2 linked regions of the Mus musculus genome follow. The protein of the gene in region 2 interacts with the protein of the main gene of each other region in a biochemical or structural test. Links are inferred from orthologs where the notes say so. Each region holds a gene or a part of one and is shown on either strand. Other genes may lie near its edges.

What was found.
Region 1: the proteins of Setd1a (region 2) and Wdr82 form a complex in vitro, tested with the Homo sapiens proteins (2 studies listed by BioGRID). The link is inferred for Mus musculus from reciprocal best matches to the Homo sapiens genes SETD1A and WDR82.

Annotation. Positions count from the first base shown.
Region 1 is NC_000075.6:106,167,934-106,175,119, reverse strand, and holds the start of Wdr82 (WD repeat-containing protein 82), read right to left. Parts: upstream 4,192-7,186; 5' UTR 3,902-4,191; coding exon 3,741-3,901; intron 1-3,740. UniProt on the Homo sapiens protein: Regulatory component of the SET1/COMPASS complex implicated in the tethering of this complex to transcriptional start sites of active genes.
Region 2 is NC_000073.6:127,773,851-127,781,181, reverse strand, and holds the start of Setd1a (histone-lysine N-methyltransferase SETD1A), read right to left. Parts: upstream 3,794-7,331; 5' UTR 3,669-3,793; intron 3,070-3,668; 5' UTR 3,055-3,069; coding exon 2,905-3,054; intron 2,677-2,904; coding exon 2,581-2,676; intron 798-2,580; coding exon 527-797; intron 1-526. Other genes in the region: Orai3 (protein orai-3), read right to left, coding at 6,981-7,331. UniProt on the Homo sapiens protein: Histone methyltransferase that catalyzes methyl group transfer from S-adenosyl-L-methionine to the epsilon-amino group of 'Lys-4' of histone H3 (H3K4) via a non-processive mechanism.

The sequences.
Region 1 (7,186 bases), on a different chromosome or scaffold from region 2:
GCCTTCTGCTTCATGAAACCTATTCTGAACAAGAGTTCTTTATTGTACTATACTTTCTATATGCCTGCCGTTTGTGAAATCAAATACCATCAGGTCCAGTCTACTTTCTGAAGCTCTGCTCTGCAGTCAGTACTTAGTAAGTACTTACTGAGTACTAGGTCCAGTCTACTGTCTGAAGCTCTGAGGTTAGTACTAGGTAAGTACTGACTGAGTGAGGCTGAGCATGCTGACTTTGCATCTATCAGTGGTAAAAGCGAATCCTAGTATTTCAGCCCATTTACAGTAGAAGACAGGGCTGGGATATGACTTAGTCACAGAAGGCTTGCTAGCATGCATGGAGCCCTGGACTCTATCTTCAACCCTTCAAGTAAACAGTACACTAAAGCATGTGGTATTAAAAAAAACCTGGGTTCCATTAAGATATGGTCTGTATGTCTTACATCCAAAAAAAAAATCCAAGCAAAACAAAAAAGCATTAACAGATGTGTCTTAATGAAAACTAATTCAGTTTTACTTTGAAAGTAAGAGTCTGACATCAACAATGGATATATTTTTTTATGTGAACTTTCCAAGTATTTTGGCAAGCTTCTTTAAAACTATGATTCTGGAGGCAGATATGAATAAAGAAAATAATAGTAAAGCCAGCTGCTGGTGGTGGGATACATGTGTATAATCCAGCACTTGGGATCAGGAGTTCAAGGCCAACCTTGGACACATAAGAGTTAGCCTGGACTACATGAGACTACTGTCTTAAGGCAAACTAAACATATGTGCGCATGTGCACGTGTGTGTGTGTGTGTGTGTGTGTGTGTGTTCATAGACAGAAAAAATTTGAAATATTTTACCAATCAAAAGCAATACCCCCTATATATTCCTTCAAGTCGAAGGAAGGGATGAGCCACATTCTAACATTTAATGGACAAACAAAACCAAAGCCCTTCACAACCTCTTCCTGGGCAGGTGAGCTGGTTAGATGGAGGCTAAGGGCACTTGCCGCCAAGCTCAATAATCACAGTTCACCCCCTGGGCTCCCAGGAAGGGAGGAAAGCAGCCAATCCTGCACGCTGTCTTCTACCTATACATGCACAGCAAGCTCACACACAGCTAAAACGTACACAGAGAACGTGTGCATGAAAAACTACTTTCAATAAAAAAAAAAAAATCCTTTTAAGCCAAGACTGAGGCCAGAGGATTGCTGTTGGAAGCCAACCAGCACTATAGCTACAGACAAAGTTCCACTGTGGGGTGTAGTATCTTAAAAACAACAAACAAAAATCAGCTGTGTTTTAGCTATTTTCAAATACCCAAATTCTACTACTGGTATTATCTAATAAAGATGTTACTTCCAAAGAAACAGTTATTTTCTTCTACTGTTGGAATTATTGGATTATTCTTCTATACATATATATTTTTACATTTACTGATTTTATGTATATGAGCATTTTGTCTGCTTGCTTGTATATATGGGCACCCTATGCAGGTCTGATGCACATGGAATCCAGAAGAGAACATCAGATCCCCTGCAACTGGAGTTAAATGTAATTGTGAGCCTCCACGTGGGTGCTGCTGATTAACCTAGGTTCTCTGCAAAATTAACATGCGCTCTTAACCACATGTTAGCCATCTCTCTAGCTCCTGGACTTTTTTCCCCCCACAAACTTCTCTCTTTATGAAGACTTCTTTATGTTATTTATAGGAGTACCCTTGTAGCTGACTTCAGACACACCAGAAGAGGGCATTGGATCCCATTATAGATGGTTGTGAGCCACCATGTGGTTGCTGGGAATTGAACTCAGGACCTGTGGAAGAGGTGCTCTTAACAGCTGAGCCATCTCTCAAGAAATCAGAATTAGGGGTCAAATCCCCTGGAACTAGTTACAGATGGTTACAAGGTGTAGGAGTCCACTTGTTCCTCTCTAAGAGCAAGTGCCTGTAGCCATCTCCAGCCCTTACATTTCCTTTTTGGGACAGCTGTTCAAGCTGCCTTGGATTCGCACCCCCAGCTCCCAAGCGCTGAAATTATAGGCACTGCTGGACACGTTCTTTTTTCAAGAAAGTTCTTTGGAGCATTGTAACTTTCTGTAAGTTTGTAATCATGTAAAAAGGTTACATGCCTGAATAAACATTTTTTTCAGTCTTAGTGTTTTATTCCTTTGAATAGGATATGCATTTCCATTACAGATTTGGGGGGGAGATTCTAAGCTATGTATTGCACCAAACATGTCAGACAAACCAATTTCAAATTACTTGTAGTTCCAAACAGAATCAAATAGTCAGACCAGTGTATGATAATAATCAATACACAAATATGAACATCAATTCAAATAACTATTTGTCCAGTTAGTAATTTTCTCTTCCCCAGGATCACCACTGTAGGAAACTCTCCCACATACAGCAAGCTCAAGTCCAACGACAGTTACGTAATACTTTGTTGGAGCTCCAGCGAGGAAACCCATCAAGGACAATATCATATACAGCTCATTCTACAATAGCTTTACTTTAGATAAACTCAGAGACAAGTTCCAAAAGAAAACTATTATTTGAAAAAAATAATAAACAAAGAGAACAGCTGCAAAAAGGAGAGAAAAAGCCAAGGATTCAAAAACAGGTAACTTTAACATAATGTCGAAAACAGTAGCTATTAAACTAAACACCTCCTGCTTAGGAAGGAAGCTGAAGTTGACAAAGGGAATCAAATTTAGCCTAAACTAGTTTCTGCTACAAAAGAGGTCACTGCTTACTTATCGAGGATTTGAACTTCCAGAGATGAGACAGGCAATGTCTTCCTCACACCCAGGCTATGAAAACGGCAAAGATACACAAGTTCTCCAACTAACATAATTTCCATAACCAGTTCCAGAATTCCAAAACTTTGATAACTATAAGCAAACCACAATCTGGCGGTTATTGTTTTTTGTTTTTTAACTGTTTTGAGTCAGGGTCTCTCTGCTATGAAGTCCAGAACTCAGGGTCTGACTGCCTCTATCGCCCAAATGCTGAGATTACTGGCTAAGCGGCCAAACTTGGGTTTTTTTTGTAATGCAAAAGGAAACACTAAATTGTTCCGGAATGCTTTCTTTGTTTTAAAGAGAGCTCACATTCTGACCAGAATGGGGCGGCCAAGTTCTCAGGAGTCTGGCAAAGAAAAGTTTCCAAGAGTCTGTTTAGTAAGTTAACTGTAAGCCTGGGTATTGGTACTGGGAAAGGACAGCAAGCTCACATGGGCACAATCGATAAATCCTGACAGCTTAAAAACTGCATCCCGCGGGGCTTGATTGCAGAAAAGCCGCGCGGGAAGCTGAGGGGTAGGGGGCGGGCACCGTGCCAGGGCTGAATCCAGGTCACTGCTGTGAAGGCAGAGAGCTGGACGCCACTGATGGACAGAACACAGCTCCTGCCGTTCTGCATCGAGCTCAGAGTCCACCCGCACATTCTGACAGTCGCCAGGGGAGTGGAAAGGGCTATCCGTCCGGCTGCAGGGTGCAGGGACATGGCGTTTAAAGGTCAAGGTCAAGGTGGGGTTTGGCAAGCGGGAAAAGCGCGCTCGGAAGAGAGCAAAGACACATGAACTAAGAACCATCATCATCTTAAAGAGGATCTCCTGCAGCACTGCGGGATGGAGGTGGCCCTGGCAAGAGCGCCTGCACCACATGCCTGGGGTTGGGGGTGGGGGCTCAGTCGGGGACCAGCGACAGAGGGAAGGAGAGGGGCACTTGGAACTCGGCCACTATCACACTCACTTGCCCTCCTGGCAGTCATAGAGCACGATGGAGTCATCATCGCTGCTAGAGATGACCGTCTCGCCATTGGGACTAAAGTCAAAGCAGTTGATCTTGTCTGAGTTCTCGCGGAACACCTTGGCGACGCGGAAGCTCCGGAGCACGCTGTCGGTCAGCTTCATGGCGGCGGCGGCTGCTGCTGCTGAAGGCAGCGGCGGCGCAGGGCCGGGGCGGGGCCGAGAGGCGAGCGATCGGGCGGGCTGCTCAGGGCCAACCCCGGCGGTGCGGGCGCCGCGCTGGAGACGAACCGAAGGACGGCTGACAGTGGGGCTGCCGCGTCCTCTTCCTCAGGCGACGCTCTCTCGCCCGGACGACGGGACCTCGCTGACCGTTCTTCTCCGGAGTCAATTCAGGGCCAACCGGCGCTCCGCCGGCTCATTGTGTCCGCCATCTTGAAGGGAGAAGCAAAATCAGAGGGCGAGGAGCTTGTGTCGCGGCGGACGCCGGGAAAGGGGGCGGGGAGGGAACGGAGGCGCGAGCTGGGGGAGGGGGGGCGGGACGATGACGTCAGCGGGGCGGCCTCCCGTTGCTGAGGCCCCGGAGCTGGAGCCCGCGGTTCTGGGGTGTGAACCTGCGGGCGTGGAGCATCTAAACCCTCTCTCTCGAGGGCAGGACTTGAGGTCGCCTCGGGGCTAGTGCCTTTGTGGGTGCTCTCAAGCCCCGGGGAGACGCTGGTGTCTCTGAGGCCGCAGGACCTGGCGGAGAGGCCTGCTCGTGTGTGGGTGTGAATCAGGTGAACCCATCACCGACTGACTTAACCACTGCACGGCCGAGCCAGGAGGCTTCGATTTGTTAGTTGAGTGATGTACAACATACACTTGCACGAAGTTTTAAGTGGCATTTTCAACTGGGTTTATATTAAACTTCAGAAGCTTGGAACTTCTTTTAAAATTTAATGAGAGTCGAAGCGCATGAAGATCCCTAACTTCTAGTGCGGGAGGAGGGGGAACCTTAGGAAGGGACATTTCACTCACTGGCAGGTGATTGCAAAGGCATGACAACCAGAGTCCCTTATAACCTGGGTTGACAAACGACGAAATGGAACACGAGAAAAAAATGGAGCCTTCTTGAAAAATGTGCGGGGGGGTTGCATCTCAGGTTCTTAGGTTAAAGAAAAAAGGTAGCTAGATAGAACTGGAAGTGGTTGGCTGAGGGAAAACGACAAGATTGTAAGTTTGTACTGCAGTTGTCTCCTGACAAAGGGCAGAGTTCCTGGCTACAATCTGTTCCGGGGTGTGAGGAAGGGAAGGAACCAGTTTGAGTGAAACCTGAATGGATGGCAACTTTCCAAATTGCAAATCTGTTCTAGAAAAACCTTCCACAGGTGGTTGCACTCAATCCCCAGTGATTGCCTTTGAGTTTAGGTGATCCAGGTGATCCAGGCTGCTATGGAGCTTGAGATAGCAAGGACAGATCTGGTGCCATGTGCCCGACTTGCTGTGGGAACTGAAGTTTTCTGAAGAGCATCTACAATAAAGATCCTGCAGACTGGCTGACTACAACATCGCAATTGTGGAGACATCAAATGTAGGCAAAGGATCTGGAACTATTTTAGGCCTCTTTAAAAACTAGTGTGTGTGTGTGTCTGTGAGTGCGTGCACACATGCTTTTACCTTCTGAGCCTTCTAAGGTGGCCTTGCTTTAGACTTTAAATAGCCATTTACTCTAACTTCCAACATTCTCCTAATAAATTTCTCGAGAGACATCATTCAGTTTAGCTTCATTCACCCTAAAGCTAAGATGGCTGTAACATCACCTGAAATCTATAATTTCCCTACTATACAGCTTTGCTGTGTGGCCCATCTACTTGATATTTTCACAAATATAATTGATCAACATACTGAATTTGTTTTGGGGGGGTGCTGTTCTGTGACTACAAATTTGTGTAATTTCTTCTAGGTAGAACCTGTTATTAAGGGTAAATTGACTCCTAATTCCTGGGCAAAGCTGTTCTTTTATATCAGCATTTGGGAAGCAAATATACCCAGGAGATGCCAGTGTATGTGTGTGTGTGTGTTTGGAGGGGTCTGTTTTAACATACAAATTTGACTGTAACAACAGTCTTAATTTACCAAAATGTTCTCTACCAAAAAAAAAAAAAAAAAAAAAAGCCTTGAAAGGTATCTTTCAAAACTATACCCTGGGGCTGGTGAGATGGCTCAGTTGGTAAGAGCACCCAACTGCTCTTCTGAAGGTCCAAAGTTCAAATCCCAGCAACCACATGGTGGCTCACAACCATCCGTAATGAGATCTGACTCCCTCTTCTGGAGTGTCTGAAAACAACTACAGTGTACTTACATATAGTAAAAATAAATAAATGTTTAAAACAAACAAAAAACTATACCCTGTACCTTCTTTAGACTTCACTGTTAAAGCTCCCTCCCAAGATTTAGCATCCTGTTTTTTTTTTTTTTTTTTTTTTAAAGATTTATTTATTTATTGTATGTAAGTACACTGTAGCTGTCTTCAGACACTCCAGAAGAGGGAGTCAGATCTCGTTACAGATGGTTGTTAGCCACCATGTGGTTGCTGGGATTTGAACTCCAGACCTTTGGAAGAGCAGTCGGGTGCTCTTACCCACTGAGCCATCTCACCAGCCCGCATCCTGTTTTTAAAATGGAAAAAAAAAAGTAATTTTTTTCATATTTTTCGATGGTCACTTGGATTCACTTGCTGGTTCGGCTCCCTGATCTGCTATAGTGGGCTTGCCTGGCTTCTAGTCCAGTATTATCACTGCCTTAAAGGATAGACTTTGAAAGTGACCCAAAATGGTTAGCTAGTTCCAGGGCAGAGGGAAAGCTGGAGTTAGGAGTGGACTGTGTCACTTAAAAAAACAAAACAAAACAAAAACCAAGAAAACAAAACAAAACAAAAAAAAAACGCTCCAGGTTTTGTGTGGTGGCTCCCACTTCTCATACTAGGGAGGTGGGAGCCAGCCAGGGCTGTAGAGTGGGCTTTGTTTTTGCTTTTAAAGATGACATAAACAGGATGGATCAGGGGTTAAGAGCCTCAACTGTTCTTCTAGAGGTCCTGAGTTCAATTCCCAGCAACCTCATGGTGACTCACAACCATCTGTAACAGGATCCAATGCCCTCTTCTGGTGTGTCTGAAGACATTGACAGTGTACTCACATACATAAAATAAATACTTTTTTTTTTTTTTTTTTTTAAGGTGAAACAAGCCAAGATCAGCACTGGGTGTAGTAGAATACACACGGAATCCCAGCACTCAGCAACTAGACAGGACTCTCTGGAGAACAATCTATGATCCATAATAAGACTACTTAAAAAAAAAATCTAAAAAGCAAACAAAACAGAAAAGGGACTAAGCACATGGCCTGTTGCCCAGGTGCCCAGGTCCAGCCTCCAGAGACACGTGCCACCTCTCCATTTTTTTTTTCTTACAAA
Region 2 (7,331 bases):
ATCTGTGGTTTTGGCAGGCCGTGACCTAAAACTCTAGTTCTTTAATTTCCTGAAGTTTCAATGTTAACATATGTGCTACTGAAGAAAGCACAAAATATGTATAAGTTTAAAACAACCAACAAACAAAAAAGAAAAACCCTCCCTGAGCTGGAGAGATGACTCAGCAGTTAAGTGGTCTGGTAGCTCTTCCAGAAAACCGGAGTTCAATTCCCAGCACCCACATGGTGGCTCCCAACCATTAAACCAGTTCCAGGGGAATCTGATGCCTTCTTTTGACTTCCATGAGTGTAAGACGTACATGCTGTTCACAGATATATATTCAGGCAAAACAGACACACACACACAAATATCTAAATGAATCTCAAAATGTATCTCTAAAATTTAAAATCTAATAAGTTCTGAAACAGACGTGACTTCAGGAATTTTGGTAATCATGACCCTGATTACTTGGCTGAGCCCAATTAAGTATCAGCATATAGAATCCCTGTTAGAAACCAACTTTAGGCAACATGCAGCGAGTCCTCACCTTTGATATCAAGCTGGGCATGAATGATGTTGCCCATGACAGAGGTGAGGTGGAGGTTTTTGACAGTTTCCTTGGCGCCCCGAGTGCTGGTGAAGAGCACACGGGCCAGGCCTAGGTGCTTTCGAGTGCGGGGATGAAGAAGGATCTCCACTTCTTCCACCTCTCCATATTTCCGGCACATATCCTTCAGGAAGGTTTCCCTCACATTGTCATTGAGCCTCGCAAAAGTTACTTCCTTCAGTGGTATCTGTCCAATATAGAACTCATCCAGCTGTGGAAAGACAAGAATTGGTCTCGGGCTTCCATAGTGAGCAGTTTCCTTACCATTTGGGAAACTTCAGAGACATCTATGAGATTAAGACAAATCTGGGACAGAGACGTCAAGGGGGCTCATGAGAGGTACATTAGCAGTGACCTGTTTTTCAAGCCCTCTTATGACATATAGCAACAACTGGGAAGAAAACACACAAAACAAGAATTAACATACATAGGACAAAGTAATAGAAGAAAGTAATCTATTAGTTCAGGGTTACAGACTAGCATAAGCTAATTACTAGAAACAGAAAAAAAGGAAAAGTTCCCATTCAGAAAAGAGACAAGACAGAGCCGAGTGTGCCGTGCACTCTTACAATGCTAGCACATGGGAGGCTGAAGCACAGGATTCTTAGTTCAAGGCCAGCGGCTACCTAGGGAGTACTTGTTTCAAAAAAAAAAAAAGATAAGCCAGATATAAATATAAATATAACACAGTGGTAGCAAAGATGTAGAGACAGGGTATTGGGGAGCCGCTATCATTCTTTCTGGACTCTGTAGATGCTTAAAGTTTACCAAAACAACAAACTTCCAAGACATGAAATTTATCCATCTTGATATTTTCTAAACACTGAAAAGTGTCTGGTGGAATATTACAGGGATATGGTGTCAAAGAGGTGATAAGGCCTGCCCAGATCAATAACCACACATGTCAATGCCTCAAAACAGACTTAGGATGCCAGCAATATGGCTCAGTAGGTACAGACACTTGTCACCAAGCCTGACAACCTTGAGTTTGACCACTAGGACCCATGATGAAAACCAATTCCCACAAGTTGTGCTCTAACTTCTACATGTGCACAATGGCATGCAAGCTTATTTATGAATGTACACACATGAAAAATAATATAATAAAAAAGAAAAACAGACTTGGAAAACAAAATTAAAATAAGAACATTAAAACCAGTGACAACAGCAAGATGGAGCCTAAAACTGAGGAAAGCTGCAGAAAGCGAGCAAACATCGGACTCTGCATGAAGAACATGGCAATGGAAACCTAAAGATTAAGACGAAAGGAAAGAACTACTGGGTGACTCCAGGCTTCCAGCTTGGGTACCCGAGTACCTGGTATTGCCATTCATCAGTCAAGAGGAAGTGAGGAGAGCAGGACTCAGGGAAGAAAGATGATGTTTTAGTGTCTCAGTAGATGCTGGCAGGAAGGAGGTATGAGACATAAACATTCAGACAGAAGAGCTTTCAGTAAAGCTGCTCAAGAAAGGGGGGATTCAGAAGGGTGAAGCCACTGCACAACTTACTTTACCAATAATCAGTAAAAGAAAACAAAAACAAAATTAGGAGGAGACAAAGAACTACCAATTTTCGAGACAGTCCGAAGTTTGAAGAATATCTTATTACAGTAGGGAAGCAAGCTGCTCGTACAGACAGGACAGAGGAGCACACACAATGACAGCAAGAACACACAACTCCAAGTGCACAGTGGTCTTAGCAGCATCCTTAATTGCTGAATAACTTGGCTATCCCACTGTCACAAGGCTTCAGAATACCCACCCATACCTCATCCTTCCAGACATCAATACCCTTGTCACCAGATATATACTAGAGTCACCTCAGCTATACATGTATACCTTCTGTCCAAAACATCTCAGTCTCACAGACACAAAAAGCAATGAGATCTGGCTGTCATAGTTCCTTCGGAATAAACACTTTGGTAGACTGTGTGAAGCCCAGGGTCCTTGACACTCTCCAAGGACCAACATGCAGGGAGACCAGCAGGCACTCACCTTAAACTTAGGAACCGGGAGGGAAAAGTCTCTGGCTTTGGACCTGACATGACAGCGGGGGTCCTGGAGGTCTTCCACGGGGGTATACTTTGAGTCCTAACAAAGAAAGCAGGAAGAGATGAAACCAGGCTGAAAATTCACCAGCCTACTGACTCTATAAAGCCCATGTAGAAGCCAACATACAGAAGAGCTGGGAGAGCTTGCTCATTCTCAAAAAACCAAACTACAGGTATAGGAAGTCTGGGTGTTGAATACTGAACAGGGGGAAGCGGGGAGGGGAGATTGGAGGTCCAAATAAGTCAAGAAAGGCTCGAGGGCACTCACACTGACACTGAAGTGGACTCCGTCATAGCGGTACACCTTCTGGGAAGGCCTGCGCAAAGCAGGGTCCAAAGCAGGATCCACTATGAGCTTGTAGTTCCGCCACTGGAAGCTCGGGGCTTTCTGCCCGTCTCCCCCACCTTCCTGGTCCATCTTTGCTCATTTACACTGTCAGGAAAAGAGGGATACGGAATGGGAGTCCACGACTTAGGCCTGACTCCCTTGCTGTCCCCTCAATGTCTAGCCCCGATTCCAGGGTCTCACATCAGTCCAGTCCCCGACACCTCAGCATGACCCGTGGCTCCCTCAGATCTTGCCCTGAGGAGCTGGGCTCACTATGGCACTCCATTCCTCTCCATCCCCAATTCTACCCTCAGGGCCCAGGCCCATCTCGCGCCCCCTTACCTTCCCGCTCTCCCCAGCGCGCCCCACTTGGCCTCCACGCAAGACCCCTCCCCCGTCCCCTCGCAGGCCCCGCCCCCTCCCGCCTCCTCACCGGCCAAGCGGCCCGGGCCGAGCCCCGCTCCCGCTCCCACACAGCCGCTCGCGTCCCCGCGCCCCGATCCTCCGAACCAGAGGTGGCACCTCTTCGGGGCGTTGGAAACACCGCGAGACCGAATCTGAGACCCAGCTTCGGTCCCTGAATCCAGGCGGGGGGGTGGGGGGAGGTAACGCGCGCCGCTGCCCTCTCCTCCCGCCCGGGCGCGTTCGGTGTCGTCCACCCCCCCCACCCCGTCGGCGCGCACGCGCGCCGGGGCCCTACTCACCCGCTCGTGGCGAGCGGCTCACCCTCCCCCCACCGCGCGCAGCACCTCAGCGGCGTGAGGCGGCGGCGGCGGCGGCGGCAGCGCGAGACCCGGCCCCGCAGCGGTGGCGGCGGCGGCGCCCCCCCACCACCACCTCCCCGGCGCGCGCACCAAACACCACCGCCACCTGCGCGAGGCCCAGCGGGCACAGCGTCTGCATCCGCACTTTCGCTACAAGGACTGCGGAGCGATCCACGGGGCCGAGGGTAGCGGCCTTGCCTCGGCCGGCGCCCTGCGAGGCTCGGGAGTTGTAGCCCAGGGAGCCTGAAGATGGGCCGCATTCCCCGGAGAGTGGACCGCACCACCCTGATCCAGCTGCTCCGGCCTTGGGGTTCCTGGCGAATCGGCGGCGACGAAAGCTGCGACGAGCCCCTGAGGGAAGGGGGCGGAGCGAGGGGGAGGACGCCAGCCAGAGCTCGGGAGATTTGAGTGGCGCGTCCAACGACGCAGATTCGCGAGGCGGGCGGGGCGAATGAGTGGACAGGATGCGCGCTCCTCGGCTCCTCTTCCCTGCCCCTTCCTTGCGCAGCCCGAATGCCTATGAGGCTGCAGTGCAGATTCGCCACCGTCCTGGGCTTTGGCCGTCACCTCTTCTCACCTGCTGTAGAGTCAAGAAAATGACGCCTGGCTCGCCAAGCCCTGTTGGCAGAGTCGACCTCTAGTCCTGGATTTTTTTTTTTTTCAGTAGAACGACTCAAGGAACAGCACACTTCCTACTTAGTGCGAAATGGTTACAAGGAAGAAGTCTTCTCGGCGTTTCCTGAAAATTTTCAGACAAGAAAAGCTGCCCAAATAATCCTAAGGAGTCGGGTAGCGAATCTGCCGATCCGGTTGTGGGCGGGGCTAACGAGAGAGGCGTGGCCAGGCGTGCGGAGCCCGGCGTAACGGGCTGCTTCCCTTAGAATCCACCAAAACCTGGGAGGGGTGGGAGGTGGAAAAATACAACCAGGAGGGGTGACTCAGGCGCTTTGCCTACCGACGCACAGAGTGAAATGATCGGTTCCTTCCCGCTTTTATATTCGGGCTCCTGTTGTTTTTCAGACAGCATGACATCGAACTTGCTATATAACGGAGGATGGCCTCGAACTCCAGATCCTTTTGCCTCTATTTCCTGAGTACCGGAATTACAGGTGTGCACACCATAACCGGTTTATAGCATGCTGGGAGATCTAACTCAGGGCTTTCTGCGTGTTAGGCCAGTACCCTAGTTACACCTCCCTTGGGCTAGTTTTAAAATGTTCCTTCTGAGCCGAGCAGTGGTGGTACACGTCTTTAATCCCAGGACCTGGGAGGCTGAGGCAGGTGGATTTCTGAGTTGGAGGCCAGCCTGGTCTACAGAGTGAGTTCCAGGACAGCCAGAGCTACACAGAGAAACCCTGTCTCAAAAAAAAAAAAAAAAAAAAAAAAAAAAAAAATGTTCAGTGGTTAAAATCAGGGTTCTGTTGAGCTTAAAAGAAACATAAAGACCCTTAAGTAGATCCTATAAAAAGTAAAGGTCTGATGTAACCCGGTTATTCTTGAGCAGTTTTTAGGCAAGGGCTACCTATGCTCATAGGATCCCGCTGCGAAACTTAAGGACAGACCTCGTTCAAGCTTCACTTGGGAACCCAAAACTGAGATCGTCCCAAGGTTCAACACCCTTTTCATCCAGCGAATGAATACAGGCTCTCTGGTCTCTGGAAGAACTGCACTCTTGCCAAGGCTTCTGAGCTGAAGATGCCTTAAGTGGCCCTCTACAAGAGCCTCTCATTATAGGCTGCTGGGCAAGCCTTTGACTTTCCTTAGTTTCAGGTTATACCTCCAGAATGGATGGCTATCTGTCACAAAAGACTGACTGTAACCATCATAACAGTGGTAGGAAAAATTGGAGCCTGGTTTTACACATTTTAACTGACCATTTCAAGTAATAAAAGAAAATGAGTCTGTACAAGGTCTATCACGACTAGACGGTAGGATTTATACTCTCAAGTTCTGAGGCTGAGGAAAAGATGCACATGAAGGTACAGGAGCTGAGGTCCCTTTGATTTATCCCAATCGAAGGGTACCAATTTCCTTCCTCTCTCTCCCAGAAATCCCTTGACCATAGTAAAGGTAATTGAGGTCATGGACTAACTCTGTGGCTTAGGGCCAGATTAGCCTCTTGGCCTCAGCTGCCTCTTAAAAATGGGAAATATAAAACTTGTTTATTGAAATGTCTGTGATGAGTAACTGAGAGAACTTAGGAATCGTCCCATAAGATGAAGGGATCATTCAAGAAAGAAGCTTACACAAATCCCAAGTTTAGGAACAAGAGTTCAGAGGCCTTAGTCTGGGAATAACTGTTTACCACATTCAGAAGTTTATCAGATCTTGTCAGCACCTGATGGACTCATACCATCTATCAAGCATATTACCTCCATCTGGCCCTTAGGAACAAAGAACCATACCCAAGGTTTCACCTTCATCCCATTCATAGCCATAGGAACATATGTGAGACACACTTTATTTACAAAACAAGGTGCATCAAAAACTCAGTGTCAGGTGGTGGTGGTGCATGCCTTTAATCCCTGTACATGGGAGGCAGAGGCAGGTACATCTCTGAGCTCAAGGCCAGCCTGGTCTACAGAGAGTGTTCCAGGACAGCCAGAGCAACAGACATAGTGAAACTCTGGCTTGAAAAACAAAACAAAAGAAAAAAAATCAGTGTCTGAAGAAGAGTTCTGCATTCTAAGGGCTGAATCTTCTCCCTTACCAACTCACCAACCCTTGTCAAGTAGCTGCACAATCTCCCACTCGTCAATACTTCCTCCTCTCCCAGTTCTGGCCAGACAGTCAGTGCCTAGGGCAGTGGAACGACCACCACAAGTCACCAAGGGTGAAGTGGCTCATCTGAGGAGCCCTGTAAAATCTCTCCCAGGATGCCAACTGCAAAGCAGATTATACAGATAAGCAAGGGCTGATTGCCTTGAGGACAGTTGTGCAGACATGTCACCTTCCTGGAGGAGCAAACAACTGCTCAGCACCACCAGGGATCTCACTAAGGCAGGCGGGCCTCTTTCCTCTCATTTAACCCAGGATCCTTAGGCTGAAACAGTTCCCCAAGCAGAGCAGAATTTACAAAACCCACCAGAACATGATGACAGGGATCATCCCTGGGAGTGTGGGATGCTGCTGGGCAGGTACTTGGCCTCTACCTCAGAGCTTACAGGAGGTGGCTCCAGCCTAGGGCAAGGAAGGAGGTCTGTCGATCCCTGGGGTTTCTGAGGCAATGCTTGCAACAGTCTAAAGCCAGGCTTACACAGCCTGCAGCTCCCCCTGCAGGCGACTGAGCTCCTCCAGCTCCTGCTTGTGGCGGTCTGTCTTGTGGGCAACCAAGGATCGGTAGAAATGTAGGGCAAAGGCCATAAACACTAGTCCCACAGGTACCATGATTGCCGTGGAGGCCATAGCTGCCTGCCAGCCTGGTCCATGAGCACTATCACACACTTGCCGGGGTGGACAGGCTTTGGAAGGCTGTTGTGATGTGGTAATAGAAGCAGAGGATGGTGTGAGGTTAGAAGCTAAACTAAGGGAGACAGTCACAGGTGGCACCTGGGACATAGGTACAACAGGAGCTGGTTTACCCATGGGTGCCCCAATGGGCAC